Arabidopsis thaliana: one gene and its partner. The protein of the gene in region 1 interacts with the protein of each later gene in a pairwise test. Each region holds a gene or a part of one and is shown in the gene's direction. Other genes may lie near its edges.

Evidence for each region.
Region 2: the proteins of AGL42 (region 1) and OFP16 interact in a two-hybrid assay, tested with the Arabidopsis thaliana proteins (one large-scale study listed by BioGRID).

What each region holds. Positions count from the first base shown.
Region 1 is NC_003076.8:24,956,579-24,974,927, forward strand, and holds AGL42 (AGAMOUS-like 42), read left to right. Parts: upstream 1-8,067; 5' UTR 8,068-8,381; exon of another isoform or gene 8,382-8,471; 5' UTR 8,472-8,496; coding exon 8,497-8,678; intron 8,679-9,783; coding exon 9,784-9,865; intron 9,866-10,239; coding exon 10,240-10,301; intron 10,302-10,749; coding exon 10,750-10,849; coding exon of another isoform or gene 10,850-10,885; exon of another isoform or gene 10,886-11,116; coding exon 11,117-11,158; coding exon of another isoform or gene 11,159-11,164; exon of another isoform or gene 11,165-11,262; coding exon 11,263-11,304; intron 11,305-11,736; coding exon 11,737-11,859; 3' UTR 11,860-12,029; downstream 12,030-18,349. Other genes in the region: AT5G62150 (peptidoglycan-binding LysM domain-containing protein), read left to right, coding at 1,747-2,055; ZIP12 (zinc transporter 12 precursor), read left to right, coding at 3,529-4,140, 4,230-4,685; TRM25 (LOW protein: M-phase inducer phosphatase-like protein), read right to left, coding at 16,537-17,298, 17,378-18,349. UniProt on the Arabidopsis thaliana protein: MADS-box transcription factor that acts with AGL71 and AGL72 in the control of flowering time. Promotes flowering at the shoot apical and axillary meristems. Seems to act through a gibberellin-dependent pathway.
Region 2 is NC_003071.7:13,644,073-13,651,073, forward strand, and holds OFP16 (ovate family protein 16), read left to right. Parts: upstream 1-3,626; 5' UTR 3,627-3,779; coding exon 3,780-4,514; 3' UTR 4,515-4,930; downstream 4,931-7,001. Other genes in the region: AT2G32090 (Lactoylglutathione lyase / glyoxalase I family protein), read left to right, coding at 428-496, 849-1,079, 1,191-1,266, 1,505-1,536.

The sequences.
Region 1 (18,349 bases):
TGTGGTGATGTTCTTTCACGCCACGTTTTTGTAAGTTTGCAACACCATTTTGGGGTTTTAACACCTTATCACCTTATGACGACCAAAAAAAAAGTTTTTATATGCTAAACTCAAAACGTTTCAAAAGTCGTTTTTTCTAAAAGTGAAGTACATTTCGTCGGTTAGATGAACCAGATCCACCACCTGCTACGTATATATTTGGCTAGATGTTTCTTTTTCACTTTTATTTTCTAAGGTTTTTGTAACGTACTTCTTACGTTATTACTGAAATAGGATCGAGATTAGGAATAAAAGACTTTGCTACGCATTTATCACTATGTGGAAATTTAATTAGACGGTTATAGGAGAAATCCACTTCTTTCTTCAAACTTGTCGAAACGTATAGTAGCCTACTTGGTTTTCTCACCCATTATCATTTATCAATGATTCATAATAAATTTTTAAATTTAATATACAAAACAAAAATAGCTAGTTGAACAATTTCAATCAATTATATAAATTCTCAACTCATCGACTTGCATCAAATGTTATGACTGGTTTGGTATATGCACGACAGGACAACCGATACAATGACAGTTGGTTCCAAAAAAAAAGTTTAATCCTAAATATATGAATAATCGAATCGATCAATAACACGTTGACAAAAAACGAACAAATAATCACACTGATGAACCACTTTATAATGAACAGAGAATTTTGTAATCTGAAAATTTTGAAAGTCAAGAGGTTAATCAAGTAATTATAGAAAGGTAGTTGTAACGTTGGCTTTTGTGGAACTAATAACTTACGTGTCTTTAAACGGCGGCTACTTTGGAAGGCTACGTTTCTTAATTTGAACCTCATTTTCTCCATTTTCCTTCGTTTATACGATATCTTTTTCAAAAAAGTGACCCAATAACCACACATATAACATATTTAGTATAACTTTGAATATAAACGAATCAATGATATCTGAATTTTATTTTGATTTTGATCTTGATTTTTGTTGTTTTTTGTCGAGGCTATTGCCTTGCCACTTTGGATGAAGGAACCCGGCTAAGGTAAGACCCCCTGCCTAATATTAGCCTCCGGCGAATTTTGCACTCAGAAATTACATTATGTTATAGTTTTGGAATTTTAGTTTAAATTTGTAAAAGTATTAAAACAATTGGTCAACTATTATATTAATTAGCTCAAGAGTGCTTTCAAAAACATATCTTAAATTTAATAAAGAAATATTCCAATATCTTAACCAGTACTAAAAGAGAAGATCAGAAAATTTCTTATAAAACTTTAATCTAATAAAATCATCTACGACTCTACCATTCAATATTTTTTTGTTATTGTTTTATTTACATATTTCTTTTAATATTTACATATCTCTTTTCCTTTTTGCTAAAAAAAAGTTGGCATAAAAATTACTAAATTTTAAGCGTAAAAAAATAAAATTAATTATTGTCTATTGCCATTTTTGGAGGATGGATATGATTTGGAGGAATAGTTAAAGAAAGTGCTAAAATCTCCTTTAGTGAGTCACAACCGTTGACCTTCACCGCAAGGCACAAGAGACCAAGTCTCTAACCCAACACAACACAAAACCCATAAACTGAAAAGACTAACCTACCCTATCTTGCCATATAAATCCCTCTCGAGCAACGCATGTTAAATAAACCTAATTTATACATTCATTCTCAAAGTCAAAAGGAGACAGGGAGAGAGAGAGAGAGAGAGAGAATTCAAAGCGTTTTTTTTTTATAAATTAAAGGCATGAGAGGTTCAAGAACAGGTTCTTCAGACATGAGTGCTTGGTGTTCTGCTGTTGTGTTATTGTCTTTAATACTTTTGTTATCTGTTCGTGAAAACAACGCTTCTAATTCGATTAGAGGTTCTCAATTCTCAACGAAACCTTGTGAGGAGATTTACATCGTCGGAGAAGGAGAGACACTTCACACCATCGGCGATAAATGCGGCGACCCGTTTATCGTGGAGCGAAACCCGCATATCCATGATCCCGATGATGTCTTTCCAGGTCTTGTTCTCAAGATCGCACCTTTTTACTTCAACAGGAAATTGTAAGACATATAACAAATACGTTTCTTTTTTCTTTCTCTTTTCTCTTCTTTTAAAATTTTGTTTGAAGCATACTTTACCTTAAGTATGTATGTATATATTACTAAAGGATTCAAAAATAAATACAGAGATTTGAAAGAAACAGAGCAAAAACAGAGTTGTGTACCGTGAGTTGATTATTCATGTTTTGTGGGTTTACAAGTTCATTTAGATTTAGGTGTATATGGTAATTATCGATGATTTTTGGTCTTTGGGGTGGAAAATTTGATTAAACAAAATTAGTAGCTGATGAATGCAATAACGAAACGCCAAGTTAGAAAAAGGTCAACGACTTTACAGTCTTTACTAGTGGCAAAATATCAATAAAGGAGTTATGTTATTCTACAAATAAAAAGCTTCATCGTTTAATAATTCTTCCACTTATAGAATTCTCGTATCCAAAGAGGACAGATTATTTGATGAATAGGTGTGCTATATTCAATGATGTGTGAATTTATGCTTAGAAACTCGTGGATGAAAATATGAATTTTATTGATATATACGAATTTCAAAGAACAATAGCCGCATGGTTTGTGTCTCTTGCTATAATCCAAATAAGGATTTTGTTTTGGCAAAAACCTTAAGAAATTTTTACAAATACATGGTCAAGTTGCCCATTCCCAATCCATATCAGTTCTTCAACTTTCGAGCCCTAAGCCATCGTTTCATTGACTTGTAATGTGGGTCGGACCTGATTATGTTGGAAACCCAAACTTGAAATTTTTGCAAGTGGGCTTAAAGTTTTGAAGTTTTTTAGCGATATGGGTAAGTAGGGATTTTATGGATCGCATAGTGGATATCTTTAAAGTTAGAATTGGTCGCATGATGCCCAATGAGTGAATTATGTCATTATGTTACCTTGATTTCTCCCTGGTCGAAGAGAACTTATTCGTAGGTTTATCGAATTTGACATAATATCATATGTTCCGAGAATGCTTTAAAACTTCATATTCTGTTGCTTGTTAATGTAATATGATGTATTATTATCACAACAATAAAGTATTATCTGAACGTTGCCTCATTCGTCCCGTTACAAATAATTATGTTTGAAATATATATATGCAAGTCAAAAATATCTCATTCTCAATTAATTACATAACTATTCAAAATTATCACCAACTCTAGTTCTAGACTTCCTTTTTTGTATGCAATATTCCAAAAACTAATAAACTACACACCTAGACTAATTATGTCGTCATCTCCTAACACTATAGCTTCTAATTTCAAAAACAAAATTCCCAAAGTAAAAGTAAAATGAACATTATTACCGTGCATGTCGACATTACTCCCAAAGAATTGCACAAAATCTCCAAAACCTCTGTAAACAAGAATCTCTTATATATAAGAAACGTGAGTTGTTCGCTGTTACAAACCCACAATCAAAGCCACAAAGGAAGAAGAAGAAAAAAAACAAACCCTAACTTTTGTCAAAAGTAAACGATGAGTAGATTCCGTAAAACCCTAGTTTCTGCTTTCGTTCTCTGCTTGGTTATTTTTCCTCTTCTAGTCTCAGCGGCAGAGGAAGAAAACCAATGCGGCGGATCCAAAGGTGGCTCTGCTGCGGAGAAAGCATCGGCTCTTAAATACAAGATCATAGCTTTCTTTTCCATCTTAATCGCCGGAGTATTTGGCGTCTGTTTACCTATTTTTGGCCTCAAGACGGAGAGCAATTTCTTCATGTACGTGAAGGCATTCGCTGCCGGCGTAATTCTAGCCACCGGCTTTGTCCACATTCTTCCCGATGCTACCGAGAGTCTCACGAGTTCGTGCCTTGGAGAAGAACCACCGTGGGGAGATTTTCCGATGACGGGACTCGTTGCCATGGCTGCATCGATCTTGACAATGTTGATTGAATCCTTTGCTTCAGGGTATTTGAACAGATCTCGCTTGGCGAAAGAGGGTAAGACTCTGCCGGTGAGTACAGGCGGAGAGGAGGAACATGCTCACACTGGCTCTGCTCATACTCATGCCTCACAAGGACATTCTCATGGCTCTCTTCTTATTCCCCAAGATGATGATCACATTGATATGAGGAAAAAGATTGTAACTCAGGTACGTTAAAGTTTTTGGAAATTCTTGATTTAGATAAAGACAAACCCGTATTATTAGTCACATGTTGTCTATTTTTCTTATGGTGTTAGATATTGGAATTGGGGATTGTGGTTCATTCAGTGATAATAGGAATATCTCTAGGAGCATCTCCAAGTGTGAGCACAATAAAGCCTCTCATAGCTGCAATTACTTTCCATCAATTGTTTGAAGGTTTTGGCCTTGGTGGTTGCATCTCTGAGGCAAAGTTTAGAGTAAAGAAAATTTGGGTTATGTTGATGTTCTTTGCACTCACGGCACCAATAGGGATAGGAATTGGTATTGGAGTGGCGGAGATTTACAACGAGAATAGCCCAATGGCCCTAAAAGTTTCCGGTTTTCTTAATGCCACGGCCTCTGGAATCTTGATTTACATGGCGCTTGTTGATTTGGTAGCTCCACTTTTTATGAACCAAAAAACTCAGAGTAGTATGAAGATACAAGTAGCTTGTAGTGTATCTCTTGTTGTTGGTGCTGGTTTGATGTCTCTTTTAGCTATTTGGGCTTGAAAGTTTTAGTTATTCTTGCTTGTTTTTTGAGATTTTTTTTAGAACAGTGAAATTACATTTCAATTCGGATTTTGATACTAAGACAAACCAGTCAATTCCATTCATGAATGCTGTTATATGGGAAAGAGAATGTAAATCAGTCTGTAAGTGACACACGTAACTCTCCATGACTCCATCTCTGATGAAGAAATACAAAACCATCTAACTTACCTGCAAATCATTCGAATGCACGCTTTGTATTTACTATGATATTGTATTTGCTTGAACGCTCTTTAATTACCTCTCCTATGATGCATGTATTACCACAGTAGAACCCCTACCAACAAAATAAAAAAGGTAAAATCAGTTACTAAAAAGATTCTACAATAGCTATGAAATTGTAGTATGGAAATCTTGTAAAGCAATTACTATATGAGAAAGAGAATGTAAATAAAAAAACACTAAGCTATGAAGATGTCTATCTCATGACGTAGAACTCAAGGAAGTGAACAAAAACTACTTGGAGGACAGAGTAAATCACTCCACAACCAGCTAAACAGAGTAAGAAATGAGATTTGGCAGCAGTTGAGAATTGGATGATTTTGTAATGAGTCAAATGATGACTTTCAACTTTGGCTCTTCATAAAAGCATAAATCAAGAGAGATCATATTCTTGTCAAAACGATCCGTTTTCAACTTCTGGATATTCATGGAATAACCCCTTCAAATAGGATATGCCAATTTATCAGTTTATATTCCAATTCTTCCACTTCCATAATAACCAGTCTACATTTTAATTATCTTGAAACCAAAAGAAAAAAAGCCAAGATTAATTTCCTTTTTCTTGAAAAAACAAAGCATTCAAGTACTCAGGCGCATATGAAACATATGAAAAGTAAAATGCTTCAATAGTAGAGACAGACATGCCTTGGAACCTTGGTGGGTAAAAAAAACATACTTGAATGGCTTCATAATGAAGCAAAATAATGAGAGAACATGAGAAGCATCATCATCAAAAGCCAACACTTCAAAAAGAAAAAAATGGATATGGATATCCATGGGAATAACCCCATCAAAGCATCTTCTCCTTTTTCTTCAAGCACTCAAATGTCAAAAAGGTCACCACTTTTATTAAAACTCATATATATACACTGAGCCATTAGTCCATGAATAACCAACCAGCCTTCTCTCAAAGCAAACCAAAAAGAAAAACCAACATTGAAAGAGGAAGTTACGATAAGCGGAGCAGTAATAGGGCATCTTTCTATTGGCAGGCGACTTGGCTATTTGTATCTTTTGTGTTCTTGACTATTGGCTATGTCACTTGCCAAAGGAGAGTTGCCCTGTCACTGCTTCCGCTTAAACACAGTCTATAACCGGTTCTGCTAATATCAATCCTTCTTTTGGACATGTCCAAAGCCGAGATTGATTGATAGAGAATTGGTCTCTCTGGCTACAAAACTAGTGCGGTTCTCTCGATTTAAGTTTTAATAGCATTCACTTTGCACATTGCATCTTTCACATCAAATTTCCATTTCATCAACCATCTAAACCTCTTTGTTAGCTTTGATATAAGCAACGATCTAAAGTCTAAAAACCATTAATCCTCTGAAAAAAAAGACAATTTCGATGGTTCTATTATGTTTCTCCAATGCAGAAATTGTATCGTCTGAATTATAGTAGATTTTTTCTAGACTAAAGTGTAAACCAAGACGAATCTGCACTAACAAGACACACCAATAGACTTTACAGAGAAAGGTTACGAGTTTTGAAAATATTAACGGACCATAGTCATCGCGAAGACAGTTGAAACGGCTGAATCTCTCCGATTTGCAGTATTTCGCTTCGGGAGTCAGAAAGCAGAGGTTGAAGGCAAACGCCGCTAACGTAAACCTTCTCTTTCAGGTGGAATCTCTATTAAAAGGCTTTTGGGCCTTATTTATAGTCTTGTATCTCAATAGGCCTTTGGAGTTTGGGCTTAATTATCTAAATCGGCCTTTGGACTTATCCAAAATATTTTATTCAACTGCTTGAACGTCTCCCTTACATATCGACCATTTCATTTTTTAAAAAGATCCAACATTTGGTGAGGAAATCCAAAAATCGAATATCCAATCAGTATTAAACTAAGACTTATTGCCCAAATTGTATACTAATTCAGTTGGAACGGTAATCGAACAAGTGAAACGAATCAGTGCGAGACACGTGACAAAGCACTGACATAGTACGATGATGTCGATGCCAATTTTCAACACTGTTTTCTTTTTGGCGTGGGCCTTTTCGATACTGTTTCATCTCCTCTCGTTTTCTCCTAAGATTAAAAATAATAGAAAGAGGACAATGTATTATTATTCTCTTAACTCATAGACATAATGACACGTAGTAGGTTCTCTAGTTCCTATCTTTTGATTTCTGTTAACGACTATGTTCATTAGGAGCTACTAGTCACAATGCCTTCAATTAATTTTAACAACATATTTTAGCTACGAGCTTGTCGAGAAATCAGTTTGTTAATACTATTAAAAAAATAGTATTCACGAAAATTTTGAAATTCTCTACTAAATTTTTATTAAATCACAAAACTTTTAAAATTGACCCCATTTAAATTGACTCCCACTAATCCTATAATTAAGTGTTATGTTCTCTAGTAATGACGACATCGTTAGAAATTCAAACACTAATAAATGATTTTATTAATATTGCTCAAAGCCTCAAAGTCGTCCATCGATCTTCTCTCCCCCAAAATTTCCTATTTTAGCGGAGACTTTCCAAAATCCCTTGTTCTTTCTTTCCTCGTTAAGTTTGCCAAAATAGGGTAAAGAATATGTTTATCTCGTAGACCAAATGGATCTTCCTAATGCTTAATAGCTTTTTTATATATATATTTTAAGTTATATTTCGTACGGCTATTATTTTAATGCAACATTTGAACCTGCCACGATTGTCTTTTTTCTCAATTATATAAATAAAGGTTGAAATACTATAATTGGTGCACAGCTACAATAATTATGATATTTACTTCCGTAACGTGAAGGAGAAATATCTAATAAATTACATTTTTATATAAAAACTGTACTAACTTACTTAAAATGAGAGTGAAAATACTAAATCGTATGAATATTACAGTAGTATTTAATTACCATTTTATTGAAATTTGATATATATATATATATATATATAACCATATATTGGTATATACACACATTTTTGTTGACAAATAAATCAATTCTTATAACCAAGTTTGGTTGTTTTCCAGATAAATAAAATAAAAACAAGAATTATCCTGTTTCTTGTTTTGGCATCTAATTATCCTTTTGTATGTGGGGAGGAGAAGATATGGACACAAATTTAAAATACTCTATACATAATTTTTATTATTATCAAGAACAGAAATGAAAATAAGAATGGCATCATTTTATTGTGACCCATAAAACAAAAAAGAAAAGTGATAAAACATAAAAAAAAACTTTCTATAAAAAAAAAAAACATTAAGAAACTTGCCCCTTCCTTCTCTCACAGATCATTCTAGGGCTCCTGACAGAAAAACCAAATACCTTTTCCTCTTTCCATTTTTGTAGAATTTCAAATCTTTCTTTCCTCAATCTTTCACAATGATCTTTTCCTGTGAAGTTCTTGATTTTAAATCACCCTTTCTTCACTACTAGCTTATCTCTTCTTCAATTTTCTCTACCGACATTCAATTACTCTCCCTATTCGGTGAGATCTCTCTCTCTCTTTTATGACTTTGGTTATGATGACTGGTCACTGGCTTGTTTAGGGTTTCAATCTTTACAGATCTTGTGGCAGAAAAAATCAAGTCAAAGCAAGAAAAATGGTTAGAGGAAAGATAGAGATGAAGAAAATAGAAAACGCAACGAGTAGACAAGTGACTTTCTCAAAAAGAAGAAATGGTTTGTTGAAGAAAGCTTATGAGCTCTCAGTACTCTGCGATGCTCAACTCTCTCTCATCATCTTCTCCCAGAGAGGAAGGCTTTATGAATTCTCTAGCTCTGAGTATGTTTTCTTCAATTTCTTCTTGATTCTTTTAATTCATCTTCTTTTACTTTTCCGATCGTACTTTTTTTGGGGGGTTAATTAGGCTTTTAGGTCATGTGTTTGTGTCTGTTCTGATTTATTTTCTGAATCGTTATTGACTAAAGCAACCTTCTCAGATTTTGGTACTTGAGAGATTCGATCCTTGTCTGAATCCTAAAGATTTCTTTCTTCTCTTCCCCTATCAGTCTAATTTCATTTTTCTATTTTTATAATAGTCATTTGGTTAGAAATCTAGACAAACTCCTTTTTTCTGATCTACCAAAACTTTACATCCAAACTAAATTGTGTGCGTATATATTGATATATGTGTGTGTATGTTTCTAGGGTTTCCAAATTCTTGAAAGTATATATGAACAGAAAACAACATCGGAAGTAGATCTAAATGGGATTTATTCTATAATTTGATGATTATTTATTGTGATCCGTACCAAGTTGCACATATTTTTACCCATTTCTTTGGTGATAATATAAAATAAGTTTACTTTTTCTTGCCCCTAGTTAATTAGGTTGTGTACTATCGTTTTTGGTTTTCGTTATGTCTTTATTTGGGCTCTACTTTTGCAGCCATGTAGTAATAATGCTTGCTCTTCCTCGTTTGATTCAGGTGTCCAGTGCATACATAGTTCCCTATATATATATATGTTTAACACATTCACATCCTTAAGTTTTTGCTATAATCAATGTTAGAACCAAGTAGCTAAAGTTGTGATTTGTTATTCTCTATAGTAATATATATTGTTGATTAGAGGTTTCCTAATGGGTTAATGGATCTAGATTCAATTATTTGATGTGAGAAAAAAAAGAGTTCAATAAATGGACAAAAAAGGGCCCGGTGAATCATAGGGCATGGATTTGAATAGTTACCTAGCTATAGAGATATTAACCAACAGCAAAGAAGATATTGTAGTACAATCTAAGAATCATACTACAGTCAAACAAAATTTTCATATCTCGTTGCGATAAGATGTTATTTCAAATATAGTAGAGCTATAGATAAAACAAATACGAAGATAAGTACGTTAGTTCATATTTCTGAAAATATATGTCTATTTTTGATCATCAGTATGCAGAAGACGATCGAACGCTACCGCAAGTACACAAAAGATCATGAAACCAGCAATCACGACTCACAAATTCACTTGCAGGTTTGTTAGCAAACTCTTTTTTTTTCACTTGATGACTTTCACGGTTTTATCCTTGGTAAAAATAATCAAACTTAAACTTTACATGATTTCCATGCTATTGATATTAGACTGTGGGCTTCCAACTTAAAACCAATTGGCAATAGGTGGAGAGACCCATATCTTATATATACCACTTAAGATCCTACTCAACTTCCGATGTGGGACATTGTCCCTAATAATTGATTCTTTGACTTTCAATGGCCAACAAAACCAAATCTTATGAGATCAATTACTACATCACAAAACAACTGATGGATCGATGGTCACAAAGATTACATACTGATCTGTTTTACTTCTTTTGCATCCTATGATTTTATTTTGTGGGCGTATTGTAGCAATTGAAACAAGAAGCAAGCCACATGATAACAAAGATTGAACTCCTTGAGTTTCACAAGCGGTATAATGTCTTAGACTTTTTGTTTCTTTTTCTTTTCGTTGCTACTTCTCTTAGATCACAATCTTGATTATTATTCCTTTAATTTCATTTACGGTATTTTGTTTCGTTTTATATATAAAACCATATAAGCTTAGACTTTTTAACCAAACTTTCTTTATTAATTGTAGATCCATATCCTTAAGACTTCATTAACCATTTTTTATTTATTTCAATACTATAATTTTTAACCTTTTTGTTAGTATTTCAAGAATTTTTTTTATAAAATTTGAAACCTTTAGTCGTTTAGATTTAAAAGTCCTTTTAGTTGTTTCCGTATGTAAAGGTACGCATGTAATCAAAGACCATACTATAGTAATATCATTAATGTATTTGTTAGTGATCTCAAATAGGAGAACTACTTTGGAGATTTACAAAATTTGTTCATGAACCCTCCTCTGCGTGTGTATAGGAAGCTATTGGGACAAGGAATTGCTTCTTGTTCTCTAGAAGAGCTTCAAGAAATCGATAGTCAACTCCAAAGAAGTCTGGGAAAGGTCCGAGAAAGAAAGGTACATATACTTCATCACTATCTAATTGGTATATGATGATGATCTAATGTAACTATACAACACATATTGACTTGAATAATCTCCATCTCAGTCATCAAGTTATAGTCCTCATTTAGATATGAACTTGAACACAGATCTTTGCAACCATTTAGCGTCATATCTCAACCAATATACTAACATTGATCAAGAGTCAAGTCACATGTGTGTTTGTATATTAGTGTTGTTATCATGGAAATGAAAAAAAAAGTTGGACAAAATGTTTTATAGGCTCAATTGTTCAAGGAGCAGTTGGAGAAACTAAAAGCAAAGGTTTGATACATTATGTTATAATATAAGATATGTATATCATACATGCAATTTTTTAACTAGCTTTTTTATATGAAATTGGTGAAAGAGTGTCGGTTGTGTTTCAGGAGAAACAATTGTTAGAAGAGAACGTCAAGTTACATCAAAAGGTGACCCATCTCTCTTTACAATTCACATATTTAGAATTGTATATACCAATACTAATTCAACTGAAATTTACATATATATCATATATGTTATGAATTGCTAATGCTTTAGTATGCTGAAAATATTACCCAAAGAACTCTGATTGTTTTTCGTCGGTTGATTTTTTACATTTTTAGATTTTTTTTCTCCGGCAAAATCATTGTTAGAGATTATACGGTGCTATTCGGTAAAATTTGGTTCTCGTTCCAAGTTTTTTTTTTTTGATAAAGTATTTGATTAGTTTTAAGGATTTCAAAATTTAAGTTTGAGTTTGACTTTTTCAGTTGGTTTTGTTTACAACTTTTGGATATCATTTTTAACATTTTCTCCTAGAGATAAAATTATAAAATGATATGTTTTATGGTTGATGAAATTGCAATCTATGTCATGGACAGAATGTTATTAATCCATGGAGAGGATCATCGACTGATCAGCAGCAAGAGAAATACAAAGTTATAGATTTGAATTTGGAAGTTGAAACTGACTTATTCATCGGTTTGCCAAATAGAAACTGCTAGTAACATTATATAATATGTTTATTTATTTATCATGAAATATTCAAAATCATTCAATAAATTGTGAGGTAATGATTTGGGATAGTATTTTCTGAGTTGTTATAATTCTAGTCCTTATACAATTAAAGAGATATATATATACAGTATATTCAAAATCCTTCAACTAATTGTGGGGTATGATGTTCTTACACTATTCACACTGTATTTGGAAGCTCATGTTAAGAAACATTCTTGGGTTCATACTTGGAATGTCCAGTCATCATCCAAAATCTAAAACAAATCTTCGGCCTAAGTTATGGGCTCCAATCGGCCCAATAAGGATCCAATGGATTATATTAATATACAGCCAACTACCCACCCATGGCCCACCAGTCTTTGTTGCAGTTTACTCGTTTGCAAGTACTGTATATTATAATCAGATACACAGAAGTTAGATACTACTAATTACTTGATAGGATAATATTAATACTCTAGTGTATAGGAGATAAATGCATCAGCTCACGGTTAGCTGCTTAATTCTGCTGTATTTGAATTTTGAAATTCACTAACCTCGACCGTTGCTTTTGTAATAATAATCTATTCATTAGATAATTGTAATAATTGAGTATGGAGAACATATACATTATCAACATGTAACCAGGAGTTTTAGAGAAAATAATCTTTTTTTTCTTCTCAGTAGCGGTAAATTTACCTTCAAGACAAAATATTTATCGATTGTAAAATTATATATTAATCAACTCATCAAGTTATACTTCCAGTTGATGAAATTACTTGTATATTATATATCGAAATATTCAATACATTTACATTCTCGTACACGTACATAGATTAGAGGAGCCATGCATATGGCTGATTCGTTTTATAGTCTTTCTAAGACTTTACATAGTATGCTTTTTAACTTTTACACTTTTTCCTGATTTTCTGTAAGTCCCTTTTGGCTTTCTATTGTAACCCAACATATAATAAGAAAGAAAAAAAAAAAGAAGAAGAGTAAATTAGAAGTGGAACCAAAGATAAATTATTCTCTTTTCTTAAAAGGGTCGCCTAACTGCATTTCCCTTGCATTTAACTTATTGTAAATTCATCTAAAATCTTTTCCATAAACTTATTGTAATTTTACAACTAGAATTAGAATATTGCTAGTTTGTTACGGGCCATGATTTCAGTTTTAGCCAATTTATGGTTGAGCATTCCTTCGATTAAAGGAAGAATGTCTTTATTTGCTAGCTATACGCACAGTGTACTTAAACATTCTCATGTTGAAATATGTGTAGTATCGAAACTAATTAGCTTTAAAAATCTCAATGTCTAAATCTTCAACTTCATATATTATGTATAAAATATACTCCTTAGGGAAAATATTTCTTCACGTTTTCTTGATTTCGTTTTTCATTTAACTGTATCCGATCCAAGGTTACCGTACGCTCAAAGAGTACTCTCGGACACTTAGAATTTACACTATACATTTTAGAAAATAATATGCATACTCCCAAAAGTGGACTGTACATGTTTTCAGTTACTTATTTAATATAACTCGACTATATATATGTTCATAGATTTGCCAACAAAACATTTAATTCCAACAAACTGGGTAGTCAATTAATATTTGCTAGAAAAGATGCAAAGAGATTAGTTTATAAGAACATCATTTAATAGATTTTGGTCAACCTTTATCAACATCTTGATATCATATAGTAACGATTAGTAAAAGAAAATGAAATTATTAAAAAAACATAAACGCCCATGTGACTTCGCTTAGTTTTTTTTTTTTTTTTTTTTTGCTGCTTATTTTGAATTTCCCGCTCAACGGTCGACAGATTAGTTGGACACCTAGACGACGACAAATATAATACATCTATACACTCGCTTACAACAACAACAAATACATATATCGAAAGGCAGTTTTGTCAATTATATATAGACATTTTATTTGACCAAAAAAGAAATAGACACTTAAATGTGGAAATCTGATGATACTCCAGTTGAGTATTATTTTTTTCTCTTATACAAGATAGATGTAAAATTTTGGATATTCCAGCATGTTATAATTAGCTAGAGTCATCCATGTTGATCTTGTTTGCTGTACAAAAATATATTTTATTAAATAATTAGATATATCGGTTGTGAATTAGATTTTATTTCCAAAACAAATATATTAAGAATTTCATTAATAAAGTTATAAACGGCAAAAAAAAAAAAGTTATAAACGGTTAAAGTGTTTGAATTGTATGCTTTTATCTATCGCTCTAATTATTTTTTAGCTAGATAATGAGATTTCAATGCTTAAATTTATCTTGATAGTGCAAGTTTAATTGTAACTGTTTCAGGACTTCTGTAATGATAAGGTTTGTATGTGCAAGTGCAATGAAAGTAGAGTTACAATCTCGGCCACCGTAAGTCTGTGAACAAACACAAAACAAAGCAATTTCTTTGTCATGCAATACATATTTAACAAACTATATAATTAGCGTGTTCTTTTAATGAACGCAGCGTCAGCGACAACAAAGAAGAAAAACAGATCTGCGGCGAGAAAAAATACAGTGATTAGAGAATAACTGCCGCAGAAGATGTACGATGATGAAGATTGACGTGACGCTGCTTAATTTCAGCGATTCATTTGATGCAGTTGCAATTCATCGGCTATCATCGGCGACTCATCCAAAATTATTATTTTCAAGCTTTAATGTCGTTTTACTTACCTACTACTTCTCATGACACGTCGTTTCAGTCCGCTATTGCCGCTGTCGCAGCGTCAAATAAAAGAACACGCTAAATGTATATGCATTCTAAATTGCATGAATGGTGTCTTCATTACGACAGATGTAGCTTTAAACTTCACGTAAATGTCTCGGGTCCATGCAAAATCTATCTTTCGTCTTGTCTTTTTACTACTTTACAAGGTTCTCTTCACCTTTTTACTTTTCTCTTTTCTTTTTTTTTTCCTTAAAATATTTCTTTATATCTATCAGAAATATTCTTCTCTTACATTGCTTTGCTGTAATTATTTGGACAATCGTCAGAATTATTTAAGCTCTCTGAGATGCACAAACTCTCATGACATGATAATAAGAACAAAGATACATAACAAGATTCCTCTCGAAATTTACGTACGTTTTTTTGTACCCATCGTCAACGTCATAATCGTCAAAGGTTTTTGAAAACTTGTTGCTTCATGGATGTATGCTAATTTTTTATTTTACCATATTTTCAATACGTTTAACACATTCAAACTCATTAGGTCGAGAAAAAGTTGACATAGTCCATAAATATAACAAACAATCAAACAGATATGAATAATCTATATAATAGGAATATGATCATGTATAATAGGAATATGAATATAACAAACAATCAACCAAAAAAAAAATGATCTATATAATAGGAAAGTAGTTACTGTAATAGCTCATCAGTCATCACTAAACACATTAAAATGTAATCAATCAATTGTTCAAAATGGTTTATATATTTATCTAAAAACAAATTGAGATCATTTTGTCACATCACCATAACTATAATGTCATATTTCTTTTGGAGTGAATAATTCTTTCTGCAAAAGTGTGATGTGTGTCACATCTTCAGAACTTTGAAACCTTTAACTGTTGTTTGTGTCAAATTAAGTGGGACTAAAGGGTAGATTCCAATTACCGGTAATTCTATATTTCTGAATATTTTTAATATGTTAGGCTTGCCTATTTCATTTATATATTTTGTGAATTCAAAGCGAATGATTTTATTGGATAATTTTTTCAAAATAACTTGGATGATTTTGTAAATTTCCTTTGTTTGTTTGTAATTGGTCGGATGACATATTACAAATAATGAATCTAATTACATGCAATACACAAAGCATACGAGACCATAACACTCATCACATTCTTCATAGGACACCTTTACGTATAAAGTACATCAACAAAGACTCTGCACTACACCGACACTTTTGATAAACTTGCATTCACAATTCAGAAACTAAAATATGTTATCTGCAAATCAAATCATTATGGTCTCTAAACACTAAATATTTGAAGATATAATTCAAACTCATGTAAAAAAAGTAAGTTCAAATTTTCAGACAAAGACATGGCTAATATGGCAAAAAACAAACAAAATGTTTTGGGCCCAAAGTTATTTTCTTCTCCTAAAACCACTAAAATAGTAAATAGTAAATGCTTCTCTAGTTTTCGTGTATAGTATTCAAAACTAGACGACTATTTCCGAATCTAGCTACGATATGATTTCAAATATTTCCAATAGACCCCATAATTCATCTTGACTAAGGATTCAATGTCATCAAATGCGTGAAAGAAACGTCTCTTGACACATCTTTTTTCCCCCTTATTGACACATCTTTATCGTCAAGATTTCATTACAAAAAGAATAGCCAACAACATAAAATCAAAATATTCAAAACTCATGAATACTATTCTTTAGTCTACATAGCATATGCAAAACCCATGGGATGTTGGAATACGCGGGGGACAAAAACATCTGAAATTGACAGATCTTTCTATCTTCTAACAAAAGAGCTCCACTTCGGTCCACACTCTACAATTTCAAAATTTTATTTTATTTATTTATAACGGCTACAAAAGTATTTGAAAATTAATATAAATAATCTATATATTAAAAAAAGATATCTCTATACAAAGAAGAACCAGTAAATGTCTGCCATGTGGAATTCTTTTATCCACGTGGAAGCCTTAATCTCAATGAGGACGAGTCGTGGTGGGACCCCACATTTGTAGAGTATCTCGTCACGTGAACACCCCACGTGCCACTGACATCATCGTTACGTTTCAGCGGCGCCGTTTTGACCATCCACGTGGCTAAATAATCCGTCGTCGTTTCAGTCACGAGTGTTTCAAAGATTCCTCTCTCGATCTCCGTGACGATTCCTTCGCCGTCTTCTTCAAACGCCGATTCAATCTCCGGGAAGTCCCCGGCGACGAGAGCGTCGATATCTTCTAGAACCAAACACTTTGCTAACGGAAACCGCTCGATTCTCCGAGATAACTCGTCGATTAGCTCCGATCCCTTTAGATTCCTCTGAGACCGAATCGGGTAATGGCAAACCCAAGGTTTCAAATTTATGTGTGGCTTTAAGATATCGGCGAGGATTTCGTCTACTAAGTGGAAGAGTAGCTTTCTATTGCATCGAAGAGAGAGATTTTCCGGTGAATTTCTAGGTCTGGTTGATGTAACAGCGAAATGTTCGAGGAAGTAGAAGATTGATGGATCAAGTGGGTGTGAAGGAGAGAACCATTTAGCGTATGAGATTGGTGTGTCTCTGTCGATTCCTGTTCTTCTTAGGGTTCTTGTTATGTACTCTAATTCGCCGCCGGCGATTGGTGCAATGTGGTGTTGTGATTGGCTCGGAAAACTAGGGAGCTCTGATGATGATGCTCTGTTTCTTGGTGTTTGTGTTTCTCTGAGCTTTAAGTTTGACTGCAAAAACATGAATGAAACATTTAAATATTTAAACTTTGGATAAGGGAGGTAAAGAGAGTAAGTAGGTGTTTTGTACCGATTTGTGATGAGGTTGTGAATCTTTCTTCTTGATGGTGGGAACACTGGTGAAGTTGATGAGATGATTAATGGATAAAGGAGTTTTCTTGCTGGAAGATTTGTCTCCTTGGATAAGAAGTAGATGACCATTGTTGTTGTTGTTGCTGTTGTTTATTGCTGGTGATCGAACAAACGGCTCTTCCTGCATTGATTGTGGCGGCTTCACTAATCTCGACTTGAAATTCTCTGGTTTCTTGCATTTCTTTGTAGATTTCCTCTGTTTTTCTTTCTCTGTTCCTTGTGGCTCTTCATGCACTGTTGGTAACCTGGTCTTGTCTTGAACCTTCATTGCTGTTGTTTCCAGAATCTTGGAAGCGACATTATTTGTCTGAAGTGAGGTTGGTTTTGTTTTGGGGACTTCCGTTAATCCCAATCTCGGGGATGATGATACATCATGAGTGATGATTGTGGTCTTAGAAGAAGCTTTCTTGGACTCATGAACCTCTCTTGGTTGTGTTTCTTTGTTGGTTATATCAGTTCCCATTCTTCTTCTTCGGCTAACGTTCTCCTTCAACTGCATCACTATCTGTCTAGCATACTCTCGTGGACTCCGATTCTCTTTATCTTCGTGTATCTCTTTGACCCTCGTGAGCCTGACATTGTTAATACCAGATTCTCTTTCAGGAAACACGTTGATGTTGTTGTCTCTGAGATGAAGTGAAGAACGTTGGTGTTCGTAACAGTTGACATCAACGGATCTCCTTCCAAGTGAAATCCTCGGTGTCTCGGGAAGAGAACGTGTGCCTCCGTCGACAGAGTTTCTTTGGAGAGAATAATGTCTGTGTTTCTTTGCGTGAGAAGATCTTGTTGGTGTCTTGAGATCAATTAAGGTAGAAGAAGATGACGAAGATGGAGTAGGAGATGATCTGTAATTATCAGGAACAAGATCAAGACCCATGAGTCTAGCAACCAAAGTAGGTGTCTTTATGCT
Region 2 (7,001 bases), on another chromosome or scaffold:
GGTGAAAGAAATCTCTTCACTGAAGAGTTGAAATTGACGTCTGATCTGGTAAAGGAAGTGCGATTGGAAGAATGAGGAATTGGTGGAGGTGAGAGATTACGGAGCAATAAGGGTTTAATACCGGACCGGATGTTTTAAACCGGATACATTGTTTGGTCGGGGTCCGAACATTTCTGATTGGTCGGATATTCAGATTAAGCAACAGATTAATTTTTCTTGGAGTAACTGCAATTACGTATAATAATTCTTTTTTTTAAAGTTGGTTTTAGTTTCACTGATAGTCAAACCGATCGGTTCAACCTTATGGTTTGATTAAAGATGTGTTATAAGGAGCCGATGCCACGTACTTTTACTAATCTCTTTTTTGTCGACCATTTTTGTTTCTGAGTTGTTCTTCTTGATTAGCTTTGTCCGCTTGGAACCAAACATGGCGAGTCTTGGCCATATAGCCAGAGAATCATCAGACATCACACGCCTCGCCCAGTTTTACAAAGAGGTAACGACACCTAATCGACGTTTTCAATTTCTTACACTTTTCTTTTTCTTATCTCTCTTCGTATTCTCTGTTCTGGGTTTGTGTTGTTACTACCAATTTCGACCCAAAAAAACAAACGCACTGAGTCGATTACCCATCTGGATTAGAATCTATGGTTTGTAATTTGGCTTTTTATTTAGAGATTTGTGTTGCTATTGTGGCTTTGTCTCTTTCTCTTGTCACTTATCTCGTTTCTAGTTTCTATTGAGAGTGTCCACTTTTGGATGCCTTTAATCCTTTTGATTAAGTTAGTGTTATCTTCATCTTCGTGGTTTGTTCTGAAACCAATGGATTATATATGTATAATTGTCAGGTGTTTGGGTTCGAGGAGATCGAAAGTCCTGATTTTGGAGACCTACAGGTGGTGTGGCTAAACTTACCAGGTGCTTTTGCAATGCATATTATCCAGAGAAACCCTTCAACAAATCTTCCAGAAGGTCCTTACAGTGCTACCTCAGCGGTTAAGGATCCTAGCCATCTCCCAATGGGTCATCATATCTGTTTCTCTGTCCCAAATTTCGACTCTTTCCTTCATTCTCTCAAGGTATTGTTTCTTTGGCTTGTTTACATGAGCTTTTGATGGTACAGTTATGGATATGATTGGTATCTTTCAGAGTTATTTAATCGATCCTTTCTCGTCCTTGTTATGATGTAGGAGAAAGGGATAGAAACTTTTCAGAAGTCTCTTCCTGATGGAAAAGTCAAGCAAGTTTTCTTCTTTGATCCTGATGGTAATTAATCTCTGTTTTGCTCTTAAGCCGGCTTAATAACTATTATAACTTGGTCAGATATATGTCTACTTTTCTTATTCAGCACAAGCATTTGCAAATTACAGTTCTTGTGTATTATATATTTATATGCATTGATGCTTTAGTACTTTGGTCTATCGATCCGGAACATGTGTTCTAGGATTATCTTTCAGCGATCCTGTCTGTTTCAACTTACAGATTCTGTCGTCAAATTTTGCAGGAAACGGATTAGAGGTAGCAAGTCGATCATGAGCCTTGAACCTGAAATATGTGGTATCACTACTTATAGAATGAAATAAAAGTATTGTATAAATAATCAGTTTGTTGAAATAAAATCTATATGTCTAGGTTTGATGTTAACTTGTGACAGCTTACGCCTCAAAGTTCGTGTCATGTGCTTTGAATGTTGGATGTATCGAATTTATGAGCTTTTCCTTGTCTAGTAGTTCCCATGTCTCTATTACAACACCGAAGAGATTGGGATAGTTATAATAGAGAGAGAGGACGATAGAGACCCAACTAAGAACAACCATACATTCACAACTCGAGATATTTTATTCATTTATTGTGAAGAGTTGTTTTGGTCATATAAACTCACCCGGTTCAACCCGGATTGAACTCATCAAACGTATCATTTCTAACTTCCGGTTGACTTGTATTGCTATAAAGCTTGGTCGAATCAGACCTAAACCTCAGATATCGAGGCTAAATTATGGTTGGCTAGATCATAGTCGGGTCGTAATTAAACCCAACCTGAAGTGAACCGAATTGGTGGTCATTTGCAACATCCATGTGTAGACTGATGACCCCAAAAATAGCAAAATAGAGAAAAATGTGTTTCAAAATTCCAGTCTAAACAAAATAGGGCATCAATTTGTGGGGCTAAGTTGTTGTCCATACCCCCAACATGGCAAGAGGCATAATGGTGTGAAGGCATTACAAACATTCTACAACTTACCATAATCTAAAATCTTATGATCCATCAGTCGCCGCTTTTGTGGTTCTTATTTGGTGATGGAATATTGGCGGACGAATCATGAGTAGCTTATGTAACAACAAAGTATGATGATAGCTATATTTTCTGTTGTGGCCCACATAAATTTATCCATATGAAAGATGAGTTCGAATCTTTTTTTTTTTTTCTGGTGCCGGATAACTACGCGAAGTGGTACCACCGGTCCACCCTAGCCTTGGCACGATGATAGCTCAGCTGTGCATTTCGAGTGTTATCCGATACGATCTTTACCAGTAACGAGGGATAACCCTGAAAATATATAGGCTACAAGCAAAAATAGTCGCTAAACTATTGAATATATGAAACACAACAAGTTTCAAACCTTTCACCAACACGACTTCACATTAGTCTCTATAACCAAATCATAATGAGATAATTCACAAAAACATGCTTCCAAAATACTTATTATATTGGATGCTTCATTTCCATTTTTAACTTGCTTCTATCCATTGTCTATTCTCACCCGCCAAATTACCAGCAACAGCAAGTCATAACTGATCGTTAGTCCTTAACTCCTTATTAGTTATTACTTGATTCTACATGTACAAAAATAGCCAGACTTAGTTATAGTCACTGGTGGCTAAAATATCTTTAGGACTTGATTAACAAAACAAATATTGACCGAATGACCTGCTTGGTCGGACCAGTGAAAACTCGACCTGACCTTGTGAATCGGACCGGTGGACCAAAAACCAGGACCACACTAGGGAAGTATTCGTACTTGAACTAACGTCTTTTGGCTTTACGTCATGATGAGTGGACCAATCTAGGTGGTGGATGAATTTACCTCCTCGTGAGCTCTCTCTATTCTGTAATTGCAAGGACACTCATTCTTCATGTTTTGCAGTTTTTGTAACTCTGACAAACTATAAGGTTATATGAATAAACCAAAATTTATAAATACTATCATTCACGTATAAAGAAAGACCTCCCCATGTTGAATTCAGCTTTGTACGTCAGTGTTTCAGAAAGAAAGTGAATAATTACAAAATTAGAAAGTATCAAACCAAAAGAAAGAAAAACGCTAAAAAAGTAAATATCTGATATTCAGATTCACTCGAAAGTACAATACCCTTTAGGGAATATATGTTTTGTAAACGTTTCATCAATATAGATGAAAATTAAGGATCCTAATAACTGCATTTAGTCAATAGTAACAAGTACCATTACTTTGTTTTGCAAGTCGCAACACAAGTGCATGTGGTGATTGGTGAACACATAGTCAACATTGAGACTCTCGGTAGCTACATAACGATTCTTGAAAATGAGATAAATCAGAAAATTGATAGTAATTCACTTATTCATTTATAAAAAAAAAATTTTTGGCAACATTAGTATATAGAAATTTGTAAATTACATAAGTACCCTTTTATAAACGTAATGAGACATTTGTGTATATATATGTTACAAAATAAGCCAACATATCCATTTGCTCGAGACATTTATTCTCTTAATTCTTCTCTCTCTCTCTCTCTTAAAAATGCCAAAAATCTTGTGGAAAAGCCTCCATCTTTGCTTCCCGTCAAATCTCACCAAATGCTATTCTTCGCCGTGTATTCCTCCGTCCTCCGCCGATCCCGACGGTATCATCCAACCTAACCGTCCCTCCATCGTTCTTCTCAATAACTTCAACCTCCTTTACCACAATGACAACCACCACCACCCCCATCGTGTCATTGACTTACCTTCTTCCTCCACCACAACCACTCCGGCCGCCACCTCCTCCTCATCCACGTCATCATATGAATCTGATATCTCTCCTGATGTATCCGCCGCTTTTGCTTCCCGTCGCTTCTTCTTCTCTTCCCCTGGTCGGTCCAATGCAATCACCGACTCACCAGAACCCCGGTCAAGAGAATTCTCTGATAATTACGATGATGCCACTATCACGTCGACAAAGAAGAAGAAAAAGAAGGTTTATGATAATTCCGTGACTACTACTACTACGAGGCTTATAAGCGGAGGAACCGCCGTAACTCAACACGTGGACTCACCGGATCCGTTAACTGACTTCCGGCGATCCATGCAAGAGATGATTGACGCCGCCATCGACGCCGGAGAACTTAGTCGTGATCCGAACGACGGTTACGATTTCTTGGATGAACTGCTACTCACTTATCTCTCTTTAAATCCAGCCGACACACACAAGTTCGTCATCAGGGCTTTCTCCGACATATTGGTCTCACTCTTGTCGGAAGAACGCCGGATATGCTGACGTGGTGATGGCCGCCGGGATAAAAAAAAAACTCCCGTGCAATGAATGCAACACGTGACTATTAGTTCAGTGAACCTAACTTTCTTTTTTCCAATGTACGTCTTCATGGAAGAGTAACTAAGCAAACCAGAAAAAATTATTACTGACAATTTCATATTTTGTATGTTTTATTAAAATAATTGAATGATGCAAAGGATAGAAGAATTTTGAGATAATTCATATATTTGGTTGGATAATATAAAGTTAGATATTTTATTGACGAAAAGAACTTCTTTTAAATGGTTTATAGTTTTAAAAAACAAAATTCGTTAATATAAACCGCACAATATAGCAAACCGGGATATCAAAACTGGTCCACTCCATGATTGAGTGAAACAGACATAAAAACATGTTTTTGTGTTGAACATCACTATTGGCAAAAAAAAAGAAAAGTATTAGAACTAGAAGTGAATTTCTAATGTGATATGAATAACAATAACTTGGTTCGGAGGTAGAAGTAATTAAAGAAATGGTTTAAACGTTAAAACTTATGAATTAACAAATAAATCAAAGCTAAATACGTCCAAAAAACTTTATGATAAGAGTTAAAATGGAACTTGGTTGGATCAATGAAGCATAAGGTTGAGTAGACAACAATATCACCAAGGTACAAAGCTTGAGGCATCGATAAACTCTCTAGTTGCTTATATTATGTCAAGGCATGCATGGATCGTGTTTTAAATATTACTATGTATCCATACTTTAATAAAGAGGCATATATAGTTAATGTTTCTACAATATATAAAGTAAAAAAAGTAGAAGTTTTTACTTTCTGTATGTTGCCTCAGTTCTTAATGTTGCCTTCATGGATGTATATGTATTATCGTTAAGACAACAAAAGGATGCTACTTTTTGCTTGTATAGTTGTATTGTTTTGTTTCTGTACAAAATATATAGACTCTGTAATATTGTTTTTTTTTTGTGAAGAAGTAATATTGTTTGTTACATCAATTAAATAATGAAATCTATTATTTTCCTTTGCTTCTTTCCATAAGATTTACACGTAACACAATGTGAGACAAAACAAAATAATTGAGAATCCTAAGAGACGGATGTTGGAAGGTCCACTCGACCAAATAAACTTAAAAAATGTAGCTAATACTTTAAAATAAGGGTCTAATTAAACAAAGTATTATAAGTTAGTTGGTTTAGGTGAAAGTAAGACCATGCCATTTGTCTTATTGATCAGTGTTCACTAAAGAATTAAAACTAGCCTCTAGACCCGCTCAATTGCGAGTAAAACACTCAACTTAATCTAATTAGTATAAGATTATACATTTCAACTATAAAGGGCTAAATAGCTCATATTTGTTAACACTTTGAATTCATTAGTGAACTAGCTAAATCTCATTTTTGCAATGAAATCAGCATGTCTTTTATTGCATGAAAGGTGCTTATGGGCGAAGTTGCAACTAATTTTTTTTTTTACTTTTGGTAAAAAAGTTGCAACTAAATTTGACTATGATGAGTTTACAATTTACAAAAAATAATAAAAAATGACTATGATGTTATATATTTATAATTAGAGAAAATGTGCGTTTTGTTAAATCGTCATGTATATGTAATAACTGACTATGATTTTATCGTAAGTTAAACGACTCAAAACGTGAGCAATCTTAATTATACTTTTCGAGTTGGTAAATGGTGCCTTGTTTTCTGCCGCTTGTCTCCAACTCTGCCTAACCACTTGGTTGATAATGATAAGTCAATAGAACCTATGCCACAATGTTTATGCGTGTGTGTGAGAGAGAGAACAAATTTGGGTCAAACGTACAGTAGAGTTTCATATGTCCATTTGACCATTTCGGTGCGAATTGAAGGTCATTTAGATAGGAAATTATCTGTCAACCACCTCACTGTTTTAAACGAATCAGAAAAAGAATCCGAGAAGAAATAATTTGCTTACTAGCTAGATTTAAGTGTTGAGATTTTTTTCAATGCAATTGCCATTTTCTTAGCCAAGCCTTTCTCCGAAATATCCCGTAAATCACAAAATACTTGTGATTACATCCCATAACGAGAATACATTTTATAATGGTCTAATAAACTCAAAAACTATAATAGTGTATAAATAATTTGTCGTTGAAATTAGCAAGTTGCCGTAGTCAATACAAATCATGTGATATCACATGTTACGACTTACGAGTTTAGACGATTTTTATTTATTTACTTATAAATGGATCCATGCATGTTATTTTCTGCAAAATTATACAATCACTTTTGAGTCCAATAACTTAAAAGTTCCACACCTACCTAAATATGGGTCAATCTCAAGATATGAGATCACTATCGAGACAAAATAAAAAGTTTGATACTCATGCACTGCATTTGGATTTCTTACCTTTCCTATCAAAATTAAAGTTATACGCTTTATTGAATTGTCAACAACATCCTAAACACTAATGCCGTGAATATTTCGGTTACTACTATGCCTTTACCGGATCACCA